2 linked regions of the Danio rerio genome follow. The protein of the gene in region 1 purifies or fractionates together with the protein of each later gene. This does not show direct contact. Links are inferred from orthologs where the notes say so. Each region holds a gene or a part of one and is shown on either strand. Other genes may lie near its edges. The genes, in order: hsd17b10 and trmt10c.

Region 1 (3,764 bases):
ATGATGACTGCATAAACCCTTCTAAAGTGTAAAGACATTAATGAGCGCAGTGTAGCTTTAGGGTGGACTTCAATAAATGAAACAGAGATCATAGTGAAACTGCCACCCTGTGAACAGAAATCAATCAGCTGTGTGTGTGTGTGTGTGTGTGTGTGTAAGGAGATTTACCAACATCAATCTGGGTTTACTTTAATTATGCTCAGTCTGTTCCGTAAAGGATTTAGTATGACTTGTGCACAGCTGCCAATACTTTCCAGGGTTTTTTTTTTTTGTATGGTGATCGCAATGTGCATGTAATATATAATAGGCACGTCTTTTTAAAAAATATAATAAAAATAATAAAACCAATGCAAACATTCACAACCATCAAAAACATTTAAGAATGTTATTTAGGGAATTTAAAAATGTATTTTAAACATGTCTAACGAAAAATAGCATTTAAAATATTTAATAATGCTTTGATATTAAAACCTGTTACCCTTTTGGTCATAGAGAGGGACAATATGAAAAGGTCACATGAGACTTCTGTGCTGATTCAATCAAAACAAGCTCAATTCTGCCCTCTATTGGTCGTTATTCAGTCTACTCTAACTTTTTAATTTGAAGTGTCAGTAGTGCATTTATGAAGTATTGGTGAATAAATGTAGACATGATTATCTGAATAATAATATTAACAAAGTCTATATGGTGCAAAACCCAAAACCATTCAGCTTGTTTGTTTATTTTAAGTTGTGCTTTTCTTAGATTCATTCATTACAACCCATATAATGATTTACAGTTTATTTTACAGGAAACGATATGTGGACAGATACATTTAGCTTTTATGGCAAAGTGATGCTTGTAGAAATGCATTTACTATAGTTCAGATCATAGAGTCAATGGCAGAGCAGTGCAGTCACTATACACCACATCAACCAAAGAATACATCCATCTACAAGATTTCCAGTGGTTAAAAAAAAAAAAAAAAACACTCACATATTCAAAGTAGCATTTTCAATCAGATTGAAAGTATCCTGAAAATAATTAATACACATTCTTCAGCCAATGTTCTGTTCTGTTCTGAGTATTTCACCTGGAGTTTCTAAGTTTTTCCCTTCAAGGCTGCATGCGAATGGCTCCATCCAGGCGGATCACCTCACCGTTAATCATAGGGTTTTCTGCTATTGAAGTCACAAGGTGTGCAAACTCAGCTGGATCTCCCAGACGTGACGGGAAGGGCACCTGTCTGGCTAGGAAACTCTGCACTTTCTCTGGTAAACCTGCTAGCAGTGGTGTAGCGAACAGGCCTGTGGGGATAAAACAAGGTCACAAAACACTAAGTTAATGAAGACAAAGTTTGAGCAATCTTCATCTCAGTGTCACTGACCTGGGGCAATAGTGACCACGCGAATGCCCATCGGAGCGAGGTCTCGAGCGATAGGAAGAGTCATTCCTACAATGCCTCCCTTAGAGGCGGAGTATGCAGCTTGACCCACCTTAAAACACACATTACAGAAGCTGTAGTGAAAACTGCTTAATGAAGCTTCTAAGCATTTACAAATGTTTCAGCGGTTTAGAGCACATTCAATTGTAGTTTCAGTAGCGTTTCAATTTGTTTTGAAAATGTTATGATTCTCAACTGGGGCGTCCAGGTAAATACCAAAACATTCACATGATGATTGACTCGGGTCGCCCCCAAGTGGTGAACTAAACAACTTTCAGTGTTTTTTTTTTTTTTTTTAATACAAGAATAAAAACATCACTGCATTAAAGAAAAGATACAACAACAAAGAAATAGGAAAGGAAGAAAAAAAAACTTTATAAAGCCTCAATATTATCATAAGCTTTAAAAAATCGTATTATTTTTATTATTACTAATAAGCTTAAGCGAATCAATATTGTACGAAATTTCAGCAAGGACAGTATTAAATATAGGTATTGTTTTTAGGAACTTATTTTTATGTATAAAACAAAAAAACACAAAAAAAAAATTTACAATAAGATCAAGAGCATCATCATTACCTGAGAAACACAGAAATATATATTTTACAGACAAATTTAAATCATGTTTAAATAAGGACGATGAATAAAAAATAATGCTATTCCAAAGATGTTTAACGTAAGTGCAACTATAGAATAAGTGAATATTGCAGAAAGTACAAAAAATAAAATATATCAAACTAATTCGCAATTTGGTAATAGGCATATGGTGTTAGGCATAAGTGTTTTCCTCTCATTAAAGTAAAGAAAAATTTAAAATAAATCCACATAACTTTGTGACAAACTCTTTATAACACAGATAAAGGATTTGGCTGGCAAATTATACGGAAATTATACAAATTATACAATGTCATAAATTCTTCATATTCCAGAATATTGCCACTATTTTTTTGTGCAAAACAAAAACAATTCCTCTTTCAAACCACATATCAATAAAAAGATATTTCCCACGAATTAAGACATTAGTGTTATTCCAAAAAATGTCTTTGTGTGGTGAAAATTGTGCACGTAATTAATAATTTCCAAGAAAGTAAAGCTTGTTTGTGAAAGTTAGAGAGGGAAACTGGCAATTTAGAAGGGATGAAATTACATTTTAAAAGAAAGTGTAAGCCACCTTAATTTGTCAAATATAATATTGGGAATATAGTAGCAAATTGAGTTATTACTACAGAGACGGGTTCAGTAATTTTTACCTGAACTCGGATCAGTTCTAAGATACATTTGGAATTTAAAAGACTAATAGTGAATAAGACCACAATAGAACAAGCAATATAAGCCCTAAAAATGTTTAAAAATACATATACTTTTTATGATATTTAATGATAAGCTGTTTGTATTTGATAGTTTAAACTTTAAATGAACCATTTACAATGTTTAAATAGGCCCATTTTAAAAGGATGATTTACCCAAAAATCTAATTTACTCTCCCTCATGTAGCCTTTATGGGACTCTTTTCTTTGTTGAACAAAAGAGGAGATAATTTGAATAATGTTTGCTGGTACCCATAGTAGCAAAAGGAAGTACACAAATTACTATGCTAGTCAGTGGGTACCAGCATTTTTCAATATATTATCTTTATAAGTTTTGAGTAAATGGCATTATTGTAATTTTTAGGTTAACTTCTTTAATGCATGTTTGGCTTGAGTTTTTGCTGTATTTGCACAGAATGCTTCAAAATATTTTTAATTGTTATAAAGCTTTGCAAAGCTTAAAGTCTCCCATAGTTGAATATTTGAAGTGCTTATGTTTAAAAGCTCAAGGAGTGCAAATATGCTGATTTGGCAGTCAAGAAAATGACCTGTGAATGTTAGCTTATGTGTGAGTTACCTGGCCATCATAAGCAGCCACACTGGCTGTGTTGACGATGCAGCCTCGGTGTCCATCAGCATCAGGCTCATTCTTTCCCATCTCGCCTACAGCCAGTCTGATTACATTAAATGTCCCAGCGATGTTCACCTTTCATAGTTAAGAATCAAAACAAAATATCATTGTTTATGTTCAGATTTCCTCCTTTACTTCAAGTACTAACACTTTAGGGAAATTCAACCTCACTGTATCAAAAACAAAACAATTACCTTAGGATAGCTAGGGGAACATCGAATTTTCACCCACTGAAAATTATCTACACCATTTAGAGTTCAATGTTCAAAACAGCTCAATATTCAGCTCTGTGGATTTTTCGCTCAGGTACACTTATCAATGCATGAACCACACATGCTCACCAGAAAAACAAAGTCGCTTAAAATATGTTGTGAGTACAGTTTTATTTCGTATACATGTTCATG
Region 2 (4,521 bases), on another chromosome or scaffold:
ACTACTCACACACACACACACTCAAACACTACTCTCTCTCACACACACACACACACACTATCAAACATTACACTCAGACACAAACACACACAAACACTACACACTCAGACACTACACACACACAAATGTAGACACAAACACACTCAAACAATACACACACACACACACACACACTCAAATATTACACTCAGACACAAACACACACTCAGACACACACACGCATTTTGACACACAGACACAAACATACACTCAGACACACTACAGCACAGGTGTCAAACTCAGTTCCTGGAGGGCCGCAGCTCTGCACCGTTTAGTTCCAACCCTAATTAAACACACCTGATCAAACTAATTGAGTTCTTCAGGCTTGTTTGAATCCTACAGGTAAGTGTGTTGGAGCAGGGTTGGAACTAAACTGTGCAGGGCTGCGGCCCTCCAGGAATTGAGTTTGACACCCCTGCACTAGACACTCAGAACTACATTTACACTCAGACACAAACACACACACACACACACAAGACACTGCACACACACAGAAAGTAACACACACACTCAAACCCTACACATACACGCACACTCAGATAAAGAATATGCATCAGCACACACTCACCGTCCTCCAGTTGTGTGCGCTCTCGATGGAGTTGTTGCGGAGCCTCAGCATGAAGGTGTTCTCGGGGCCTGCGGCTCGCTCCTCCTCCTCCTCCTCTCCATTATTGTTCTGGAGTTTTCCCGCTTCTCTCTCAGCTCTCTTCTTCTCCTGCTTCCTCTTGTCGTTGTTCTTCTGCGCCTCCTTGATGGCCAGGAATTTGAGGTATTTCTTCTTGGAGGATTTAGTGGTGAGAATGGAGAGTTCCTGCAGCTGCTGATCCGTGATCACCTTCGGCACCAGCTGCACACGTGGAGGTATACGTGTAGAAATACATACATACATGCATGTGTGTGTCAATGGGGCAAAAACAGCACCAACATCACCAAAGAGGAGTCAATCTGAGGGGGATTTAAGGGTTATAATAAGTGTAGCATCACCTTTCCAGCTTGATGCCAGGTCTCCACCAGCTCTCGGTGCGCCTCCAGCACAGACGCAGCCGATGTCGAGTCCTGGAGATGCGGAGGATCTTCCGGCAGAGCTTGAGCTCTCATCACAGACTTCCAGATGTCCAGATCCAGCTTCTCCTCATGCTGTGGGTCATCTTTGAGGAGCGTCCGGCTGCTGCTGAAGGACCTGACGGAGATCTGCTGACACACACACATCCGTCTGACCGGCGGGAAACACCAGCGCAGAAACATCATCAGCTGAGGAGAGGAGAACAGCACAGAGATCAGGTATTTAAAAACTCTACCACTGTAATCCAGCCATTAATCAGATCAGATCCATTTCAAGATCTTGTGACTGAAATGACAACAGAGCAGTGAAAAGTGTAAAACAAAAACACACTGGCCACTTTATTAGGTACACCTGTCTGACTGCTCATTACCGCAAATCTGTAATCTGCTTCAGCTCAAAGCGAGCATCAGAATGGGGAAGAAAGGGGATTTAAGAGACTCTGAACGTGGCATGGTTGTTGCTGCCAGACGGGCTGCTCTGAGTATTTCAGAAACTGCTGATCTACTGGGATTTTCACGCACAACCATCTCTAGGGTTTACAGAGAATGCTCCGACAAAGAGGAAATATCCAGTGAGCGGCAGTTCTGTGGGCGCAAATGCCTTGATGATGAGGTCAGAGGTCAGAGGAGAATGGCCAGACTGGTTCCAGCTGATAGAAAGGCAACAGTAACTCAAATAAGCACTCGCTACAACCGAGCTCTGCAGAAGAGCATCTCTGAACACACAACACAAACACAATTTGGCATCAGAACATGAAAGCATGGATCATCCTGCCTTGTATCAGCGGTTCAGGCTGGTGGTGGTGGTGTAATGGTGTGGGGGAGATTTTCTTTGGGTCCATTAGTACCAATTGAGCATCAACGCCACAGCCTACCTGAGTATTGCTGCTGACCATGTCCATCCCTTTATGAGCACAGTGTCTCCATCTTCTGATGGCTACTTCCAGCAGGATAACGCAGCATAAAGCTCAATCATCTCACACTGGTGAACATGACGATGAGTTCGCTGTACTCAAATGGCCTCCACAGCCACCAGAGCTCAATCCAATAGAGCAGCTTTGGGATGTGGTGGAACGGGAGATTGGCATCATGGATGTGCAGCCGACAAATCTGCAGCAACTGTGTGATGCTGTCATGGAGCAAAATCTCTGAGGAATATTTCCAGCAGCTTGTTGAATCTCTGACACCAAGGATTAAGACAGATCTGAAGGCAATGCGGGTCCGACACGGTACTAGTGAGGTGTACCTAATAAAGTGGCCGATTAGTGTACATCAATATATATTGCAATATGCTTAGTTTATTCTGTTCATCTCTAACAGTGTTTGTATTTGATAAAAACAGAATCTAAAACCTCATCTGTAAAAACGTTTATCGTGTCAACAAATGCAAGAGAATTCTGAACCTGCTTCATTTAATCTTCTGATTTATGTTCGGTAAATTACTGTATAATTAATTGTCTGATAACTTATTAGTATATTTAAACATAAGAAATATCAAATGACATTGTAGTATACTGGTTAACATAACTAACCTGTAGTGCCTCGCATTAAAGTAGAATTATTACCAAATGTTCGCGGTATCATTCAGAAATACTCACTGTTGGGGAAAGAAAATCAGATTAAATCAGCACTGTGACGCCCACCCCCGTCCTCTTCAACCCCTACAACATTATTTACACTTTAATTAAAGTAAATCTCTGTTCCACATCAGCTGCTGGCCAGCAAGTCCACTCAGAAGTCACTACAGGACCCTCAAAAGGACACACGCGCTGTTGGTGTCATGTGGATGTCTGTGTGCAGCAGTGAAATCTGACCGTGCGAAAATCAATATTAAAAAGATGATTTGTGTACACATTTGTGTGCAAATACTAATATTAATCTTATTTTAAATTATATGTTTTTTAAATTTTGCATTAGTAATAATATGCTATTTAAGTGAAGACACGTAAACTGTGTTGGAACAGTTGTTGGCGTTTCTAGTCGGTTCTAATATAGTGTTGTACCACACATTAGTAAACATCCGCAGGAGTTCGCGCACACCCTCCTCCATGTTAATTCAATTGATAAGTGGGTTTTATTTTAATTAAAGCGTCATGAGCCTTTTCCTCCCTAAACTGTCGAGTAAAAAAGACATTGATGAGGCGATTAAGAGTGTCGCTGAGAAGGTTCTCGTGCTGCGCTTCGGCAGAGATGAAGATTCGGTGTGTCTGCAGATCGACGAGATCGTGAGTCGGTTATTAGTCATCTTTAATCATTAACTAATGGGTTAATTAACGTTAATTAATATATATGTTTACTCTGATGTCCGTATCACTCTATATTAATACATTAGTGAGTATAATATATGCTCTCTCTGTGGTCTGTATCGCTTTATATGTACGTCTGTACGCATTATAATAAGCTTAATAATTATTATCAGCTTACTAATAATGTCTTTGTGTACTCGAACAGTCACGTTGTATAGATATATGTATGTTTTAGGCTGTAAGAAGTTGTTTGGTCTAAACAAAAAACTAATAACTATAATCATCAGCCAGTATCAACAGTTTGATGTTCAAAAATCATATTATTTAGAGAATAAAGTCATTTTCAGACCTATTAAAAGACTTGTTATTTAATGATCACGGTTTGCCCCCCAAATACTCATCAAAAGTCAAATGAAATCTTTGTTTCGTGTCTCTATCTTTCATAAACACAAGTACAGCTCAGATTAAGCATGTTGTTTATTTCTGTTTATACCACAGCACAGTTGAATGGTCACTCTCAGGTGTTTGGTTATTGTCAGATAAAGGCACAGCTAAAGTAGTTCCGACAGGTTTACAGCTTCATATCACTCCGCTGAATGATTAGAGTTATTTCACAGCTACAAGAAATCACAACAGAAGCCTTCAGAGGAGATGTGGAGGACACTAGTGCTACACACAGAAGCAAAAACCTGACAAATACACTCTCAAACACAACATCTGAACTGTGGATTTAGCTGAGAATAAGCAGAATAATGCACTCCTCAATATTGAGTTATCAGTATATAATGCACACTTGTTTTTCTGTTAACTCAATGAAGATTCATCAATTATTACTTGCATAAATAAGTTACATGTAATAGCGGTTATTTAAACTAAATTAATTTTAAACACTTTGCTTTCATTTAGTATATATTCTATGTTTATAATCACTATGTGTATATAATGAATCTATTTGTGATTAACATTTCATGTAGTCACTTGAGTTTGACTTGATCCACGCATGTATTTCACTTAAATACCTCGATTTAGTTGGCTATTAAAGTATCTATTATATACTTGTTAGATTTGTACAGCATTTTATATTCACATTAGTGCACATTTGACAGATGTATACTTTAGTTGTGTAGTTTACAAGTCACAATTAACTCATATTAAAGTGCAATTTATGCATTAT

Evidence for each region.
Region 2: the proteins of hsd17b10 (region 1) and trmt10c purify together in Homo sapiens (co-immunoprecipitation; 3 studies listed by BioGRID and IntAct, counting the BioPlex papers as one, with this or other methods). This does not show direct contact. The link is inferred for Danio rerio from reciprocal best matches to the Homo sapiens genes HSD17B10 and TRMT10C.

The regions. Positions count from the first base shown.
Region 1 is NC_133198.1:21,273,117-21,276,880, forward strand, and holds the end of hsd17b10 (3-hydroxyacyl-CoA dehydrogenase type-2), read right to left. Parts: intron 3,436-3,764; coding exon 3,307-3,435; intron 1,476-3,306; coding exon 1,367-1,475; intron 1,287-1,366; coding exon 1,096-1,286; 3' UTR 701-1,095; downstream 1-700. UniProt on the Homo sapiens protein: Mitochondrial dehydrogenase involved in pathways of fatty acid, branched-chain amino acid and steroid metabolism. Acts as (S)-3-hydroxyacyl-CoA dehydrogenase in mitochondrial fatty acid beta-oxidation, a major degradation pathway of fatty acids.
Region 2 is NC_133176.1:786,232-790,752, forward strand, and holds the start of trmt10c (tRNA methyltransferase 10 homolog C), read right to left. Parts: upstream 2,894-4,521; 5' UTR 2,700-2,893; intron 1,291-2,699; 5' UTR 1,288-1,290; coding exon 1,024-1,287; intron 887-1,023; coding exon 608-886; intron 1-607. Other genes in the region: txnl4b (thioredoxin-like protein 4B), read left to right, coding at 3,195-3,326. UniProt on the Homo sapiens protein: Mitochondrial tRNA N(1)-methyltransferase involved in mitochondrial tRNA maturation. Component of mitochondrial ribonuclease P, a complex composed of TRMT10C/MRPP1, HSD17B10/MRPP2 and PRORP/MRPP3, which cleaves tRNA molecules in their 5'-ends.